Arabidopsis thaliana: one gene and its partners. Each later gene encodes a partner of the first gene's protein in a complex. Each region holds a gene or a part of one and is shown in the gene's direction. Other genes may lie near its edges.

What was found.
Region 2: JAL33 (region 1) and AT1G54010 share a complex: the UniProt entries of both Arabidopsis thaliana proteins name them as parts of the PYK10 complex.
Region 3: JAL33 (region 1) and GLL22 share a complex: the UniProt entries of both Arabidopsis thaliana proteins name them as parts of the PYK10 complex.
Region 4: JAL33 (region 1) and BGLU21 share a complex: the UniProt entries of both Arabidopsis thaliana proteins name them as parts of the PYK10 complex.

Annotation. Positions count from the first base shown.
Region 1 is NC_003074.8:5,586,679-5,590,644, forward strand, and holds JAL33 (Mannose-binding lectin superfamily protein), read left to right. Parts: upstream 1-1,613; 5' UTR 1,614-1,808; exon of another isoform or gene 1,809-1,891; 5' UTR 1,892-1,914; coding exon 1,915-2,109; intron 2,110-2,293; coding exon 2,294-2,749; intron 2,750-2,862; coding exon 2,863-3,114; 3' UTR 3,115-3,407; downstream 3,408-3,966. Other genes in the region: MLP-300B (myrosinase-binding protein-like protein-300B), read left to right, coding at 1-389, 612-863. UniProt on the Arabidopsis thaliana protein: Sugar-binding protein showing significant affinity for (Glc alpha(1-4)Glc)(3) maltohexaose, (Glc alpha(1-6)Glc)(3) isomaltohexaose, Gal alpha(1-4)Gal beta(1-4)Glc, GalNAc alpha(1-3)(Fuc alpha(1-2)) and Gal beta(1-3)(Fuc alpha(1-4))GlcNAc beta(1-3)Gal beta(1-4)Glc.
Region 2 is NC_003070.9:20,158,089-20,162,474, reverse strand, and holds AT1G54010 (GDSL-like Lipase/Acylhydrolase superfamily protein), read left to right. Parts: upstream 1-1,610; 5' UTR 1,611-1,727; coding exon 1,728-1,986; intron 1,987-2,277; coding exon 2,278-2,396; intron 2,397-2,750; coding exon 2,751-3,219; intron 3,220-3,307; coding exon 3,308-3,621; 3' UTR 3,622-3,886; downstream 3,887-4,386. Other genes in the region: AT1G54020 (GDSL-like Lipase/Acylhydrolase superfamily protein), read left to right, coding at 17-269, 375-670. UniProt on the Arabidopsis thaliana protein: Involved in the control of the PYK10 complex size and possibly substrate specificity. May be exported from the endoplasmic reticulum upon interaction with MVP1.
Region 3 is NC_003070.9:20,153,595-20,158,377, reverse strand, and holds GLL22 (GDSL-like Lipase/Acylhydrolase superfamily protein), read left to right. Parts: upstream 1-1,857; 5' UTR 1,858-2,012; coding exon 2,013-2,271; intron 2,272-2,595; coding exon 2,596-2,714; intron 2,715-2,945; coding exon 2,946-3,414; intron 3,415-3,501; coding exon 3,502-3,830; 3' UTR 3,831-4,224; downstream 4,225-4,783.
Region 4 is NC_003070.9:24,699,356-24,704,969, reverse strand, and holds BGLU21 (Glycosyl hydrolase superfamily protein), read left to right. Parts: upstream 1-1,803; 5' UTR 1,804-1,974; coding exon 1,975-2,139; intron 2,140-2,341; coding exon 2,342-2,411; intron 2,412-2,528; coding exon 2,529-2,584; intron 2,585-2,671; coding exon 2,672-2,747; intron 2,748-2,914; coding exon 2,915-2,992; intron 2,993-3,082; coding exon 3,083-3,170; intron 3,171-3,259; coding exon 3,260-3,512; intron 3,513-3,632; coding exon 3,633-3,748; intron 3,749-3,826; coding exon 3,827-4,044; intron 4,045-4,151; coding exon 4,152-4,186; intron 4,187-4,270; coding exon 4,271-4,373; intron 4,374-4,464; coding exon 4,465-4,573; intron 4,574-4,652; coding exon 4,653-4,860; 3' UTR 4,861-5,102; downstream 5,103-5,614. UniProt on the Arabidopsis thaliana protein: Beta-D-glucosidase active on scopolin >> esculin >> 4-MU-glucoside > DIMBOA-glucoside. No activity with pNP-glucoside, oNP-glucoside and sinigrin as substrates.

The DNA of each region.
Region 1 (3,966 bases):
ACTCCGACATCATCACATCCATAACCTTCTCTACATTCAAGGGAAAAACCTCGCCACCCTACGGATTAGATACCGAAAATAAGTTTGTACTCAAGGAAAAGAACGGTGGCAAACTTGTTGGGTTCCATGGACGCGCTGGCGAAATTCTATATGCTCTTGGAGCGTATTTTACTACAACCACAACTCCTTTGACTCCTGCCAAGAAACTACCGGCTGTTGGTGGTGACGAAGGAACTGCCTGGGATGATGGTGCTTTCGATGGTGTTAAGAAAGTGTATATAGGGCAAGCCCAAGATGGTATATCGGCCGTGAAGTTTGTGTACGATAAGGGCGCCGAGGATATTGTAGGAGATGAACATGGAAATGATACTCTACTCGGATTTGAAGAGGTATAATACTTCTTGCTTTCTTCTCTTGTGGTTGAATGTGAAATGTTTTTACAAAATGATATGAATATCTTACACAAAAATATGCTTGGGTAAGGGAATCCACATAAACTTTCGTGGATAAAATCATGCATATTTTATATTAGCTAGTGTTGAATATCTCCATTTTTGATATAAAATATTTTAACTAACTCAATTGTTTTATTTGGTTTCCATCAATTGCAGTTCCAACTTGACTATCCAAGTGAATATATTACTGCAGTTGAAGGCACATATGACAAAATATTTGGTTTTGAGACTGAAGTCATAAATATGCTTAGGTTCAAAACTAATAAGAAAACGTCTCCTCCCTTTGGAATTGAAGCTGGCACAGCCTTCGAACTCAAAGAAGAAGGTTGCAAGATCGTCGGGTTTCATGGAAAAGTAAGTGCGGTGCTTCATCAGTTTGGAGTCCATATCCTTCCTGTCACCAACTGATCATCACATATATATATATATATATATGTCTCTTCTATACCACCAAGTTTGTCACGTGTGATATCTTCATTAAGTTTTAAGTTTTCTAATTTTTCTTGTTCTGTTTATCTATGTTTTAAGTGTCTTTAAGTATGGTGTTTTGTGAAGTTGTTATGCCTGTAATATTATATGTGATTGGCTTTAATAAAAGTGGGTGATTATTATACATATCAGTTGCACATTAGGAGAAAAGCTTATATTCATACTCAGTATCTCGGCATCTAGTGTATGATGGAAACAATTATCTTTAAGACTTTAGCATTATTTAAAGTGAGAAACAAGAAAACTTCGCCATAATTGGAGAATTGGTCATTTTGATCAAAATCCAACACCAGACTACGCGCAGTCCGTTTCGAAGGAGGTACACTCCACTTAGTATCTAGATTTAATTTATTATACAGTATGTTTAATTTTTTTTTTTTTTCAAACACATATTTTTCTTCTTAAGAATATATATGGAAATATAATATGTTAATTATGTAATGATCAAATAATATTAAAACACACATATATATATATATATAAACCATATGAGCAATTGGATAACGGGTAAAATCTAACCAGGTTTCAAAAATTGTAACTATTGTTGATTTTTTTTTTTTTTTGATCAACAACTATTGTTGAGAAAAACATGTATTATGTGAGCAAAGGAAAAAAAGGGAAAAAAAACTACAGATCAGTAATATCAACTACTCCAATTCAACTTATTTGCTTCATATTCACAACATTCTAATATTTTAATGACTCGTGGATCACGAGATTATATTAACATTTCTATAGATTAATTAGTGGCCTACATTCAATGATATCAATAATTACACATTTTATCCAGAAATAAAAATAATCAATAAATACGCATGAAGGTCATTGTAATGCATATCAATAACTCGTTCCCTCTCTCCTCAGGTAAATTCTCAGTCTCTCGTCTGATAATAGTTTTGTAGAGTTTGGTTAATAAAACTAATCGTGTACGCTACTAATACGTACAGGTAACTAATTAATATTCAAAAAGATGGCTCAAAAAGTGGAAGCAGGGGGTGGCGCCGGAGGAGCTTCATGGGATGATGGTGTCCACGATGGCGTTAGAAAGGTGCATGTAGGGCAAGGCCAAGATGGTGTGTCATCTATCAACGTCGTGTATGCGAAGGACTCTCAGGATGTTGAAGGAGGTGAACACGGAAAGAAAACGTTACTTGGATTTGAAACGGTATGTAGTGGTGTTTGCTACCACTCTCTTTGAGTTTAACTTATTAGCCTTGTTCGGATCAGTTTTAAAGCTTTGTAAAATGAGAACCAATTAAGACTAGACCAATTCACACCTAATACGGTCTAGATTGAGTTAATCTATACAACATCTCTACTCACGAGAGGTATCTTTTCGATCATTGCAGTTTGAGGTTGATGCAGACGACTACATAGTAGCAGTGCAAGTGACCTACGACAACGTGTTTGGCCAAGACTCTGACATCATCACATCTATTACCTTCAATACATTCAAGGGAAAAACATCTCCACCCTATGGATTGGAAACGCAAAAGAAGTTTGTACTCAAGGACAAAAACGGTGGTAAACTTGTTGGCTTCCATGGACGCGCTGGTGAAGCTTTATATGCTCTTGGAGCATATTTTGCTACAACCACAACTCCTGTGACTCCTGCCAAAAAACTATCTGCAATTGGTGGTGATGAAGGAACTGCATGGGACGACGGTGCGTACGATGGTGTCAAGAAGGTGTACGTAGGACAAGGCCAAGATGGGATATCAGCCGTTAAGTTTGAGTACAACAAAGGCGCGGAGAATATCGTAGGAGGTGAACATGGAAAGCCTACTTTACTCGGATTCGAGGAGGTATTTTTTGTTTTTGCTATCAAAATTCAAAATATGTTGTATCTTTTCATTTTCTTAAAACTAATTGACAGTAAGCAGATTGATCTATATGATTTAAAATCCTTTAATTGCAGTTTGAGATTGACTATCCAAGTGAATACATCACCGCAGTTGAAGGCACCTATGATAAAATCTTTGGGAGTGATGGCCTAATCATAACTATGCTTAGGTTCAAGACTAATAAACAAACGTCTGCTCCCTTTGGACTTGAAGCTGGCACAGCCTTCGAACTTAAAGAGGAAGGGCACAAGATCGTTGGCTTCCATGGAAAAGCCAGTGAGTTGCTTCATCAGTTTGGAGTCCATGTCATGCCACTCACCAACTGATCACATTACAGCTACCTCCTTCGCTTCCATCGAACTTGTTAATGTGATCTCTTGAAAATAACTTGTTATACCTATGATGGTTATGCCTATCTATGTTTAAATGTTTTTAAGCGTTCTCTTTTGTGATGTTGGTCTTTATATAATGTTACGTATGATAGATTTGAATAAAGGTGGTTGATTCCATCCCTATAAATTGCACATTAAGTCCCATCGTGAACAACGTTCGATCCATACTAAATTAAGTTACTGCAAGTGTGTTTAGCGTATTCAGATTAACATTTTACTGAATTAATTTTGTTTTAGGTAAAGACCCGCGAATATATGTTTAATATGTTTAAATGAAGTCCAATTATTACATGGGGACTATAGATCATATAATCATAGATTAAAGTTCATTATTGTTTAGGTATAAATAAAAGTTTTTTGAAAATAGTATTAGGTTTTGTAAGTAAAAATTGGTTAATTGGGTGGTCATGATCATACTGATAAAAAAATGAAAGTATATGAAAAAAGGATTGTTGGAATGTATTAATTTGGCTCGGCTTTGGCAAACCTGGGATAGATTGCGTCCTAACTTTTAGTGATTTGGCATTTAGGCCTTACCAATCAACTGATCCAGCCCATGTAATGCTAATCTTGGAATTTTCCCTTTTTGAAATTCAGTTTGCAATATATTAATCTTGGATTTTTCCATCTTTCTAATTGATTTACAATATTTTTATATTGGATCAGCCGCGTAAGGAGGAGATCTGATCTGATCTGATCCACACACGTCTCACGAGTGTAGTAGGCTCGACGTGCTCAAACTCAAAGTGTGATAACGTATTTTTTAAGCTTAAAAGAAGTCATCAT
Region 2 (4,386 bases), on another chromosome or scaffold:
TAATGATTAATTGCAGTTGTTGTATTCATCTGGAGCTAGTAAATTCGTCGTACACTTGCTAGCGCCATTAGGTTGTTTACCGATCGCAAGACAAGAATTTAAAACCGGTAACAATTGTTACGAGAAACTCAATGATTTGGCCAAACAACACAACGCTAAAATTGGACCGATTTTGAACGAAATGGCGGAAACTAAACCGGATTTCCAATTCACCGTTTTCGATTTCTACAACGTTATTCTTCGCAGGACACAAAGAAACATGAACTACCGTGAGTTACAATTCGCCATTCAAAGTTCCACACTATCATTAATATCGTTATATGCTTTTACTTTGAAGCAAACATTTAATAATACTTGTTGTTATGACTAATTAGGGTTTTCCGTGACGAATATATCGTGTTGCGGTGTTGGGACGCATTATGCATATGGTTGTGGTTTACCTAACGTGCACTCGAAGTTATGCGAATATCAAAGATCCTACCTTTACTTCGACGCACGTCATAACACAGAGAAAGCACAAGAAGCGTTTGCTCATCTTATCTTTGGAGCTGACCCAAATGTTATCCAACCTATGAATGTTCGTGAGCTCATGGTGTATCCTGTTAATGAGCCTATGCGTGAGTTTTGGGAGGATCCAATGGATGAGAAGTTATCGTTAGTCCAATACTAGTGGATCTGTCTACCTCGTTTAGTTCTTGAGCTCACTATTTTCTATCTCTAGATCACGTACGAGCTCTTGGAATTTGTAATGTATTGTTCTTAATTAGTTGCGAAGTAAAATAATTAATACTGTTTAAATCCTCAACTCTGCTTATTTTCATAAGAAAAAAATAATCAATTAATGGGTAATTTGATAGACCTGAGAATATAACCAAAGCATATATATGACCTGCTTTGTGCTCATATTAGACAAGTTTCGGGCCATACGCACTCATTAGAACGAAATGATTGAATTTGGTGGAATCATTTAAGACTTATGGATTTCAAATTACATAACTCACTTGAGTCATTTTATTTACTTTTTTTTTTGTTTTTTTTTGCAATTCTTGTTGTAATGAAATAGTGGAAATGGTTTCAATTTTTAACTGTTCCAAAATTATTTTATAATAAGTGTTGTTTTAGGTTTTAATATAAAATTTTGGTTAAAGTTCCAAATTTTATTTATACTGTTTTAATGTGTTAACTAGAATGAATTAATCATAGTAAAACAATTTTTTTTTAGTTTGTAGTATTTAAAAAAAACGAACACTTGATCTGAAATGCATGGAGTATTTTCTTAGTTACGTTTTCATAGGTGAGAGGTTCCATTTGACATGTTTTTTTATATATTTTATTGAAATATAGGAATATGCATTTAAATCTTCTTCTGCCCTCAATGCATGATCGATCTTCTTGATACTAGTAACAATAAATGTATCTTGAAAATTAAGAATAAATAAAATAGAAATGGGATACCAGTTGTGCATTAACTAGGTGTGTAGAAAAAAGAAAAAAATGAACCTCGAGCAACACGTTATCATATATTCATATTTAAATAACAATATTTTTCAATTGCTAAATTGCTTTTTTCTTAAAAACAATCTTTTTGATAAAAAAAATTCAGTTGCCAAATTGTGTAGTATTTACAATATAAATATAACGTATCGGTCTACGAGCTAAGACACAAAAGCAATCTTCTACTCATTTACTGTTCTGTTTCACTTTCTCTCTCTCTGTATACTCTCTAAATGATGGCAAAAAACTGTAATTTAGTCAGTGTTCTATGTGTATTTTTGGTATTGACCCTCTTTAACAAACCCATCACCGTCGCCGGGCAGAATATTCCGGCGGTGGGCTTGTTCACCTTTGGTGACTCCAACTTCGACGCCGGAAACAAACAGACTCTCACCAAAACCTTACTCCCTCAAACTTTCTGGCCGTATGGAAAATCCCGAGATGATCCCAACGGCAAATTCTCCGACGGCCTCATCGCTCCAGACTTCCTCGGTGCGACATTTTTTTGTTTGTATAACTGAAAGATCTTAATCCGAATTCTACAAAACATAAAACATGCAAAATGATATTTTTTATCATTTAAAACGTTAGTACAAATGACGAGTGTTGGATATTAGTTAATTACTAAAAATAACGGTTAAAATATTTTAAAAATAAAAAAGGTTCAGCTGGTATTCACTTTTCGAAACACATGGATTTTTTTTTGATTTTTTTTCGTTAACAGATTCGGAGATTATATTTGTATTATATGAAAACCTAATATATTTAATGTACAAAATGCAGCTAAATTCATGAGGATTCCGATCGTGATCCCGCCGGCCCTTCAACCGAACGTCAATGTCTCACGTGGAGCTAGTTTCGCCGTCGCTGATGCTACTCTACTCGGAGCTCCGGTGGAATCTGTAAGTCAACTTAATTTCTTACTATAATCATCTTATTCAAAATAAATGAACCATGTCTGTCTTTTATTGACCCGGTCATACATAGCCGGTCCTTAATTTACCTTCAGGTGGCCTTAGCACAATTGGAAGATGGCCTTCTTAATGATATAAAATATATTAAAGGTTTTACCAAATTACTGTTTTTATTTTTTTTGGCGAATGATTTAGTATATATCTTCTGGTCTAAAGCATGTGCTTGACCTGTCTTATGGACTAGCCTGGATCATACTAAACGGCATATTTTTGTTTTATTAAAGACATCTGACTTTAACTGCAATTATAATTTTGTCTTTTTGTCTTTTTTTGTTTTTTTAGTTGACTCTGAATCAACAAGTGAGAAAGTTCAATCAAATGAAAGCAGCAAATTGGAATGATGATTTCGTGAAGAAGTCAGTGTTTATGATATACATTGGTGCAAACGATTACTTGAATTTCACCAAGAACAACCCTAACGCCGATGCATCTACTCAACAAGCTTTTGTCACTTCCGTGACCAACAAGTTAAAGAACGATATCAGCTTGTTGTATTCATCAGGAGCGAGTAAATTTGTGATCCAAACCCTAGCTCCATTGGGTTGCTTACCCATCGTCAGACAAGAGTTCAACACCGGGATGGATCAATGCTATGAGAAACTCAACGATTTGGCTAAACAACACAACGAAAAAATTGGACCGATGTTGAACGAATTGGCTAGAACAGCTCCTGCATCAGCTCCTTTCCAATTCACCGTCTTTGATTTCTACAACGCGATTCTTACTAGGACGCAGAGGAACCAAAACTTCCGTGAGTTGGTTAATTATCATGGTTTAATTTCATTTTTAAATTTTTTTATAACTTCTAATACCATGTGTTTAATATTTGCCATTCTTAGGATTTTTCGTTACGAACGCATCGTGCTGCGGAGTTGGGACACATGATGCTTATGGTTGCGGTTTTCCTAACGTACATTCGAGGCTATGCGAGTACCAACGGTCTTACCTATTCTTCGACGGACGTCACAACACTGAGAAGGCGCAAGAGATGTTTGGTCATCTTCTTTTTGGAGCCGATACAAATGTTATCCAACCGATGAACATCCGTGAGCTTGTCGTTTACCCTGCCGATGAACCTATGCGTGAGTCTTGGGTGCCCCCAACGTCAGCCACCGTTCAACTCAGGGAGAGCCGCGGTTACGAGTATTACTGAGTCTCTAAAATCAATATTTAGGGATCGATCGGGGTTTCTATAAGGGTTATGAGTCAAATTATAACTGGATCAATATCGGAATCTTGAGTAGTTTTAATTTCCAATGTTTTCATGTTTCTCTAGTGAGTTTTCCTCCATAATAAAAGATTGATCTCTGCAACTCTTACCCCTTGCAAATCTTTTATTTAAAAGAAACAAAACTTTTACATAAATTTATTTCTTTTTTTTGTCAACCACATATTAAAAGGTAATTCCATAATTAAAAAAAGAAGGCACAAGAAGCGTTTTCTCATCATCTTATCTTTTGGAGCGGACCCAAATGTTATCCAACCTATGAATGTTCGTGAGCTCATTGTGTATCCTGTTAATGAGCCTATGCGTGAGTTTTGGGAGGATCCAATGGATGAGAATATCATCGTTAGTCCATGACGTCGACGTCGATGCTAGTGAATCTATCTAACTCGTTTAGTTCTTGAGCTCACTATTTTCCATCTCTATACCATGAACGAGCTCTTGGAATTTGAAATGCGCTGTTATTAATTTGTTGAGATTTAAAATAATAATGTAACCTCAACTCTGTTTTTTCCATAAGAAAAATCTCAATGAGTAACGTGATAAACCTGACAATATGAACCAAAGCGTGTCCAATGACCTGCTTTGTGCTCAGATTAGACAAGTTTCGGGCCACATGCACTCCATTAGAACAAAATGATAAATTTTGGTGGAATCAATTTAAGAAGGTAGTGGATTCAATTTGAGACCTTT
Region 3 (4,783 bases), on another chromosome or scaffold:
GCTCACTATTTTCCATCTCTATACCATGAACGAGCTCTTGGAATTTGAAATGCGCTGTTATTAATTTGTTGAGATTTAAAATAATAATGTAACCTCAACTCTGTTTTTTCCATAAGAAAAATCTCAATGAGTAACGTGATAAACCTGACAATATGAACCAAAGCGTGTCCAATGACCTGCTTTGTGCTCAGATTAGACAAGTTTCGGGCCACATGCACTCCATTAGAACAAAATGATAAATTTTGGTGGAATCAATTTAAGAAGGTAGTGGATTCAATTTGAGACCTTTTTTACCCTCTTTTTTTGTTTGCAATTATTCTTGCAAGGTAATATTCGAAATGATTGGCAACAAAGAAAATAAAAAGTAGAAATTATAAAGTTCCAGAAAAGATAAGTTTATACATCTGGCTTTGGGGCCGGCTATATTTACAGTTAATTTTCATATGAAATAAAACCAAAAATCATATATATAGATAATAGATGAACCAAACAAATGAGGCGTTCTTCATATAAAACTTCATCTTCACGTAAGCAAATGTGTTTTATTTTTATCTAGTTTCTGCACTCTTTTAGAAACAAAATTGTTCACCTTTCTGTCGTTCTAATGATTCCAATCAAATTGATAATTACTAGAACTTACAAACGAATAAGGACCAACTCTTCTGTATTTGATATAGACACTCTCTCAAAACTTAATCTTCTCTAATCTTCACTGTAAATCTTAAGGAACAACTCTCCACAAGTTTTTATAATTTATATATACATAACTAAGCTATTACCTATACTATTAAGATTGTGTCAACGCAAAATTGAGTTATTCTTTCTTATTTAAATTTGAACTATTAAAAATATGTAAATAATTAACGAAAATCTTTGTCAAAACACTATTAAGAAAATAATTTCAAAAATTAACATGATGATAAAATATAGATTGTTAATTGTTTTTTTTAATTGTTTTCAAGTAATTTAATCAATAATATGATGAGGATGATTAAGGAAATTACTATAATTTATCTTTTAAAGAATATCTTAGCATAGGTATGAGTTGTTTTTGCAAAATTTTAATAATTGATTTAAGTTATCTAAACGTTATTAAAATTATTATCCAAATTATCTATAATTATCCGAACATATTCGTCTCTTGTCTATTCTGGTAGTGATATTTTATGTATCTATATTATTCATATATCGTATCAGTATAATCTGACTTATTTAAAAATATCTATTTGATATGTATTTTGATATTAAAAATATTTTAATTCGAGTTGTGTACTCGTAAATTATCCAAAAGTTTTAGCAGAAATAAACATATCTACGTATATGTTGGTGTTGAAATTTTTTTGTTGAATTTGGCTAGTCAGCAAAATTTAGTTTTATGCAAATGGTTACTGCAGAAATTACTGAATCTGGTTTAGTGTTACCATTTACACCCTATATTTCCGTGAAATTTGTATGTTTAATTCTACTTCTTGCCTCTAAATGCACGATCTTTTCAGCACTTCGAAGAGGTTAAAGTGACTTTTACCCGATGAGAAGGGAATTGTGTGGCAGATAGAATTGCTAGGGAATCTCTTTCTTTTCTGAATTATGATCCCAAATTGTATTCTATATTGCCGGATTGGGTTAAAGCTTATGTGTATTCAGACTCTTGTGTAATTGTAAGTTGTTGTTGAACCAAAAAAAAAAAAGCACGATCTTTCTTGGTACTCGTAGTAACAATAGATATTTTGTTGAGAATTAAAAATAAAGTAGAAGAGAAACCAGTAATGCGTCAGACGTGATTAAGCGAACTATATAATATAATTGATCGATAATCGTTTGCTAGTGCGTTAAATAGGTGTATAGTAAAATGAACCTCGCGCTACACGTTATTATTTGTATAGTAAAATGAACTATTATTTTCATTGCCAAATTGTAGTACTTGCAATATAAATATAACGAATCGGTCTACGAGCTAAGGCACAAAAGCAATCTTCTTCTCTTTTCACAGTTCTGTTTCTCCCTCTCTCTAAATGATGGCAAACAACTGTAATTTAGTCAGTGTTCTATGTGTAATTTTGGTATTGACCCTCTTTCACAACCCCATCACTGTCGCCGGACAGAATAGTCCGGTGGTCGCCTTGTTCACCTTTGGTGACTCCAACTTCGACGCCGGAAACAAACAGACTCTCACCAAAACCTTAGTCGCTCAAGGTTTCTGGCCGTACGGAAAATCTCGAGATGATCCCAACGGCAAATTCTCCGACGGCCTCATCACTCCGGACTTCCTCGGTACGACTTCTTTTCTAATCGAATCCTACTCTAATCTTTAAAACATTAAGTATGTTAAAAATAGTATGATTACGTAAAAATAATCATAAACAGTAGTATTTATAAATGCATTTTAAGTATGCTACTAGTGAATTACTTAAAAAATAGTAAATAGTATGATTAAAAAAAAGATTATAAATGCATTGGTTCAGCGGCTATTCACTTTTCGGGACACATTCTATGAAATTTTATTTATTATTTTCGTCAACAGATTCGGAGATGTAGTACAAGGAATGATTTGATATTATATGAAAAACTAAAATATTTTTAAAATACAAAATGCAGCTAAATTCATGAAGATTCCGCTCGCGATCGCGCCGGCGCTTCAACCGAACGTCAATGTCTCACGTGGAGCTAGTTTCGCCGTCGAAGGTGCTACTCTACTCGGAGCTCCGGTGGAATCTGTAAGTAAACTTAATTTCTTATTATATAAGAGTCATGTATATATCTATAGTCAACACCTAATTCAAAGAAAATCAATTATATCTGTCTATTATTGACCCGGTCATACTAAGCGGGATTCTTTTTGTTTTACTTCACAGAAAAGCATGTGACTTAATATCAATAAGCTTTACTTTAATTGCACTTATAATATTGGTTTAATTTTTGTCTTTTTCTCTTTTTTGGTTCTTTAGATGACTCTGAATCAACAAGTGAAAAAATTCAATCAAATGAAAGCAGCAAATTGGAACGATGATTTCGTGGCAAAGTCAGTATTTATGATATACATTGGTGCAAACGATTACTTAAATTTCACCAAGAACAACCCTACCGCTGATGCATCTGCTCAACAAGCTTTTGTTACTTCCGTGACCAACAAGTTAAAGAACGATATTAGCGCGTTGTATTCATCAGGAGCGAGTAAATTCGTGATCCAAACCTTAGCTCCATTGGGTTGCTTACCCATCGTCAGACAAGAATACAACACCGGGATGGATCAATGCTATGAGAAACTCAACGATTTGGCTAAACAACACAACGAAAAAATTGGACCGATGTTGAACGAAATGGCTAGAAACTCTCCTGCATCAGCTCCTTTCCAATTCACCGTCTTTGATTTCTACAATGCCGTTCTTACTAGGACGCAGAGGAACCAAAACTTCCGTGAGTTGGTTAATTATCATGGTTTAATTTCATTTGTTTTAGTTTTATAACTTCTAATACCAAGTCATTAATATTTGTCATTCTTAGGGTTTTTCGTCACGAACGCATCGTGCTGCGGAGTTGGATCTCACGATGCTTATGGTTGCGGTTTACCTAACGTGCATTCGAAGCTATGTGAGTACCAACGGTCTTTCCTATTCTTCGACGGACGTCACAACTCCGAGAAGGCGCAAGAAATGTTTGCCCATCTTCTTTTTGGAGCCGATACAAATGTTGTCCAACCGATGAACGTCCGTGAGCTTACTGTTTACCCAGTCGATGAACCCATGCGTGAATTTTGGGTGCCTCCAACGCCAGCTACTGTCCACGCCAGCGACTCTAGCTCGTCCACTAGCCGCGGTTACGAGTATTACTGAGTCTTTTTAAAACTCAATCTTTAGGGTCAATCAGGTTTTCTACAATGGTCATGAGTTAATTTATAACCGAATCAAAATCGGAATCTTGATGTTTTTGATTTGCAATGTTTTCCTGTTTCTCTAGTGAGTTTTTCTCTATAATAAAAGATTGATCTTATCAACTCTTTCCACGTCCTGGAATTTATCGAGAGTTCATTAGTCTATCGATTTACTCTAATCTATTCGATATCTTATATTCCTTCTGTTCATTTTTGTTTGATTTTTTAGAAAAAACATAAATATTAAGAAAATATATTAAATGTTGCTTTTAAATGTATTGTTTTTTGTGATTTACAATTTTCAATAACTCTAAACCAATGATATTTACTAATTTGTATTGAAGTTTACAATTTATCAATTATAACTAATAACTATTGTATTAAAAATCTAAAAAATCAATATTTTTGAAATAATTTTTTTTCTAAACAATTAAACAAAAAGAAACAGAGTAAGTATAAATTATGTAAAAATATATGACTGATTCGTTTTATGACACCGAATTAAAATAATAAGCTAATTCCTTTTGGTTTCTTTTGACCCAACAATAAGCTAATTATAATTATAAAACGAATATGATAAAGTATCTTTTACCAGCTGGGAAAATATAATACTCCCAAACTGAAAATAAATATCATTACCAGTTGGGATTATTTTATTACAGTAAATACATATAGTGGGCATTAGTGATCTGATTTTGTGGATCATAAGCGACAGGAAAATAAAAATATAATAAGACCAAACAAATCTCATCCGCTAAATCTGGTCATAAGTTTAAGTATTTTTTTTCTATTTAAATAAGAAAAAAATGACGCTAAATCTGGACATAAGTTAAAACATACAAATTGAAATAGTATAATTTAAAAATCTCAATAATTGAAGCAACACACCGATCTTGACTTTATCTCTCCTTTATC
Region 4 (5,614 bases), on another chromosome or scaffold:
AGGGATGAGCTTTAAGTTATATTTTGAGGATTTTTATTTCTGTTCAATAAAAAAAACAACTCAACGTTTATGCATGATGAATATTATACGTTCAAGATTTAGAAAAATAAAAAACAACTCAACGTTTATATATCGTGCAATGAAATCATCCAATTTAAAATATTTAATAATAGTCCTTCTGTATAACAACCACTAGTGTTCTTGTGGAATTTTTATTTTGTTTCAAAAAAAAACATGTTATTTTAAATTTCCAATTTTACTTTTCAAATAAACTTCCACGTTTATTCTTTAATTTATTCATATTTTTGTTTTAAATTTAACACTCACTCTGATTCATTATATAGGATATTTCAGAGATTTATTTAGGATGTTTTACTAATATCAATGCAATTTTTAAATATATTTTATTTGATTATTTGACTATTGGTTTGTATTTTGTATTTTTAATATCAAGAGAACAAATTTTATAATTAAAAATAAATTTCTTAAAGTGTGTGTTTTAATCTAAAACATCATATAATTTGAAATAGAGGAAATATCATCTAATAAAGTAATGGTATATTTGTATAGTTAATGATTTGTCTTTTTATTCGCGCAAAATGTGTCAATTATAAAATATAAAGAGGATATAATTTAGTTTAGAGTTTTAGACACGAGGACTATATATTGGAAAACAAAAAAGTAATGTAAACCATATAGATCATGGAATGAGTCATCCTATTAAACAGTTGTATTATATATTTATATTTTAGTCACTAACACATTAATAACTTAACGTCCATAACAAAATAAGATCCAAAACTCGATCTAGATCTATACGAGGCACTAAATGATCCATTGACTTAGGGCCGGCCGATTGGTTCGAGGACTCCTCATGCTGTAAACTTTTTTTTTGGACATACATGATATATTTTTAAGTCACGTTTTTATATTATATGTTCCACGCCCAATATAATATGTTCCAAACTAGGAAAAATAAGTAAGAATTAGTCAATGATCGAGATAATGCAATGAATCATCCTATTTATTAAATAGATTTACTAAACTATATATAATACAATGATCGAGATCGTGCCATGAAGCATCCTATATACTATAAAAATAGTCTTACTAAATACATACTCATATAGTTTAGTCATTCATTAGTCCAAACATTAAATGAGAGATCCTTTACTTGCTACCTGAATTTTTTCAGAATAAGGTATAACTTTTTTTCGAATTAGAAACTGATTTATGAAAGATTAAGAGTAATGTTCGTTAAACAAGTTAAAAAATATGTTTTTACAATTAAGTTTTGAAAAATAATAAAGTCTCCAATTATTTGAGTATCAAAAATAGGCTTGTTATTATTTAGGGTTTTCGTTGGTTTAAATGCAACGGGGTGTGGTTGTCATTGTGGAAGTTAATGGAAGTAATTGGTTGAGGTTTTAAACGTTATCGGACATTTTAAATGACTGGTTTACAGTTAAAAATATGTGTATTTACGGCAATTTTATGATTGGCTTAGCAGTAGATGCGACAGTGGTTTAAACCAAAAATTACCAAATAAATAATATACAATTATTAAATTATATAAAACACCAATATTATATATTTATATATATATGAACATAGTTAATTATCGAAACCATAGACAAAGTACATAAGAGTTATTCCGAAAAAGGTTTATTATGAAACACAAATAATCATATTGGGAGATTATGATATCCAAAATGGACTAATCAAATAATTAAATCCAAAATGGATGAAGAACTTATATTAGTTCCACGCACAATATAATATGTTCCAAACTAAGTAAGAACACAACGGTCGAGGTCATGCAATGAATCATCCTATATATAAAATAGTTTTACTAAACAATTATATTTTAGTCACTCGTTAACAAACAATCAAAATCGCTATATAAAGAACTCCGATTGGATGTAAACAAATCATCATAAACTTGTTCTCTTCCAGAAGAAACTAAAAACAAAAATGGCATTGCAAAAGTTTCCTCTCATGGGGCTGCTTTTGCTCCTAACCATCCTCGTCTCTGTGACAACAGCGGTTGATGATCCTGTTTGCCCGGCGACTTCCAAGCTAAGCCGAGCAAGTTTCCCTAATGGGTTTTTGTTTGGCACGGCTACTGCTGCGTTTCAGGTACAACAGATTTACTAAATCATAGTTCAAAAAACAAAAAGTAGTGTCGTTATTGTGTTTCTATCTGAATTCAAATCCATATTTTTAAAATATGGTTTTTTTTTATGTAAAAGTTGCTCAAAATATGTTATACCTATCATTTGAAATCATTTGTGCATGTGATATTCCTCAACTCATCAACTATTTTTTGTTATGTCATTAGGTCGAAGGTGCAATTAATGAAACTTGTCGTGGACCGGCTCTATGGGATATCTACTGTAGAAGAAATCCAGGTGAGTGTACTCGTATAATCTACATTCTCAATACAGTATGTTTAAATATTAAATTAAATTTAACTAATTAATATCAATACATAGCCATTAATTTTCTTAATTACTTTCAAATTACAGAGAGATGTAGTGGCGACCACGCCGATGTGGCCGTTGATTTCTTCCATCGTTATAAGGTATATATTAATATAAATTTAAGACAAACATAACTTATATTCTCGAGATGTTATTGAAATTTTGCCTTGTCTTAAAAATGTTTGTAGGAAGATATTCAGCTAATGAAGAATCTAAACACAGATGCATTCAGACTCTCAATCGCATGGTCAAGAATATTTCCTCGTGAGTATATGTCTGCAGATCTCTAGTTTGATTTTGTTTTAATCGAATTTGGTGAAATTAGATTTATGTGATTGTTATATAATACTAATAACCAATGAATTTAGATGATGTATATGTGAATGTTGAAGTATCAATAACTAATGAAACAAACTGTAATGCTTTATTAGATGGGAGAAAGGAGAAGGGAGTGAGTCAAGCTGGTGTGCAATTCTACCACGAGCTCATCGATGAACTCCTTAAAAATGGTTATATACATATAAAATACCTAGTTCACAAAAATACAAGTAATATAGTATCCTTATTTAACATTTCTTTCTATTTTACGTCATAAATAGGTATAGTTCCGTTTGTGACTGTTTTCCATTGGGACACTCCACAAGATTTGGAAGACGAATATGGCGGTTTCTTAAGCCAAAACATTGTGTATGTTTTTGTAAATTAAACAAAATACATTTAGTTAAGTTTATATGGAAATTATTAATTTGGTATCTTTTTTTTTTGCAAAAATACAGGAAAGATTTTCGAGAATATGCAGATTATGTTTTCACTGAATACGGTGGAAAAGTGAAAAACTGGATCACTTTCAACGAGCCATGGGTCTTTGCTCACGCAGGTTACGACTTAGGAAAGAAAGCACCAGGACGTTGTTCTCGCTACGTTCCAGGTTGCGAAGACCGAGAGGGACAATCTGGTAAAGAGGCTTATCTAGTCAGTCACAATCTCCTCAACGCTCACGCAGAAGCTGTTGAAGTTTTCCGCCAAAAGGTAGTTTACATTAGATATAAATCATAATTAATTATCAGGTCACATTAGATATAAATCACAATTAATTATCAGGTTTCGAATCTTAAAATAGGTTGTTTTGTGTTGTGTTTATGGACATAGGTTAAAGGTGGGAAAATCGGAATCGCACATAGTCCGGCTTGGTTCGAACCACATGATCTTAAAGATTCAAATGACGCTCCAACTGTTAGCCGTGTACTTGACTTTATGTTGGGATGGTAAGTATATATTATGTTAGAAAATGGTTTCTCGTATATAATTTCATAAAAATTAATGTAGTTATTAATTTTGTGTAGGCATCTGGAGCCAACTACTTCGGGAGATTATCCACAAATCATGAAAGACCTTCTTGGTTACAGATTGCCTCAATTTACTGCTGCACAAAAAGCAAAATTGAAAGATTCGACCGATTTCGTAGGGCTTAACTACTATACTTCGACATTTTCAAATTATAATGAGAAGCCAGATCCGTCTAAACCAAGTTGGAAGCAAGATTCTCTTGTTTCCTGGGAACGTAAGTTTTTTTTTGTTTTCCGTACATGAAACCAAACCAAGAAACTAAAGATAAAAGGTTTTATAATACTAATTGATATGCATACATTTTCACTTTTTATTTTTCAGCTAAGAATGTAGATCACAGCGCCATTGGTAGCATGGTAAGCGTTTGATTAAACTAGTCCTAGTTTGTGATTGTTAATTTTTGTCTACGACATAACATTTTCACCATTGCTTTATTTCAGCCTCTTACTGCTGCATTGCCCGTCTACGCTAAAGGATTTAGAAAGCTTTTAAAGTACATCAAGGACAAATACGCAAACCCGGAGATTATGATAATGGAAAATGGTAACTCGAGATTTATTGTTATATTTGTGTGTTGATTTAATCTTAACTCTTAAGAGTAATATACTGATCATTATAATGTTGTTTTTTCTAGGATATGGAGATAAACTTGGGACCACAGATTCGGTTGACGTTGGTACTGCTGATCATAACAGGAAATATTATCTTCAGAGGCATCTTCTGGCTATGAACGAGGCTATTTGGTAAGCCTTTTATTATTTGATAGATTGACTAACGATTCTATTGAATGGTCTAATTAAGAACATAATTGTGTTTGTGCAGCATCGATAAGGTGAGAGTTACGGGATACTTTGTATGGTCATTGTTGGATAACTTCGAATGGCAAGATGGTTACAAAAACAGATTCGGACTCTATTACGTCGATTTCAAAAATAACCTCACACGTTATGAGAAAGAATCAGCCAAGTATTACAAAGATTTCCTCGCTCAAGGTGTTCGTCCATCCGCACTCAAGAGGGATGAGCTTTAAGTTATATTTTGAGGATTTCGTTTTCTATTCGATGTTTTTCCTATGTTTTAGTTTGTGATTGACCACGCACGATTCATGAGTCGTGGTTAATAATAATAAAAGTGTTTCGTTTTCCTTCAATCTCTAGCTTATTCGACAAGATCAAGAAGGCTTTAGTTTTAATGACGTTATCCTTTTTGAGAATCAATATGTGAAGTTAAATATGTTTTACCTTCCAAACTTGAAGAAAAATTGAATCATACAACCTTAACATTAAAAAATTTATGAGTTACAAAATGATGTAAGAAAATATCATTAGTTTTAGAAAATTAAAAATACGAATTTACCTCTATACATAGAAATAGATTAGGAAATAATTTGACGTCGTCTTAACAACTAAGTACAAACATTTCAAAAACTAACAACTTAAACGTTGGCGATGAAATAAACAATGGCAATTCATTTTCCCAAACAGTTCTAATATTTTATTTTTGAAAGTCACTAGTTTAGATTAAAAAACAGGACGACCAGCAAGAGAAGATATCTCTTTTTCACTCATTTGGCCAAGCGTATTTTCTATATACCTTAAGGAAATAAAATCCATGCATGATGCAACCAAATAAATCCACCATGCAATACCAACATCATTCATTACTTTGGAAATTCATATTTCATTCTTAGCAAGCAAAAAAAAACAAAAAAAAACAATCAAACGTATGTGTTAATAATGAAATCATCACATTCTATCTTACTAGTAGTCACTTATCAAAAACGA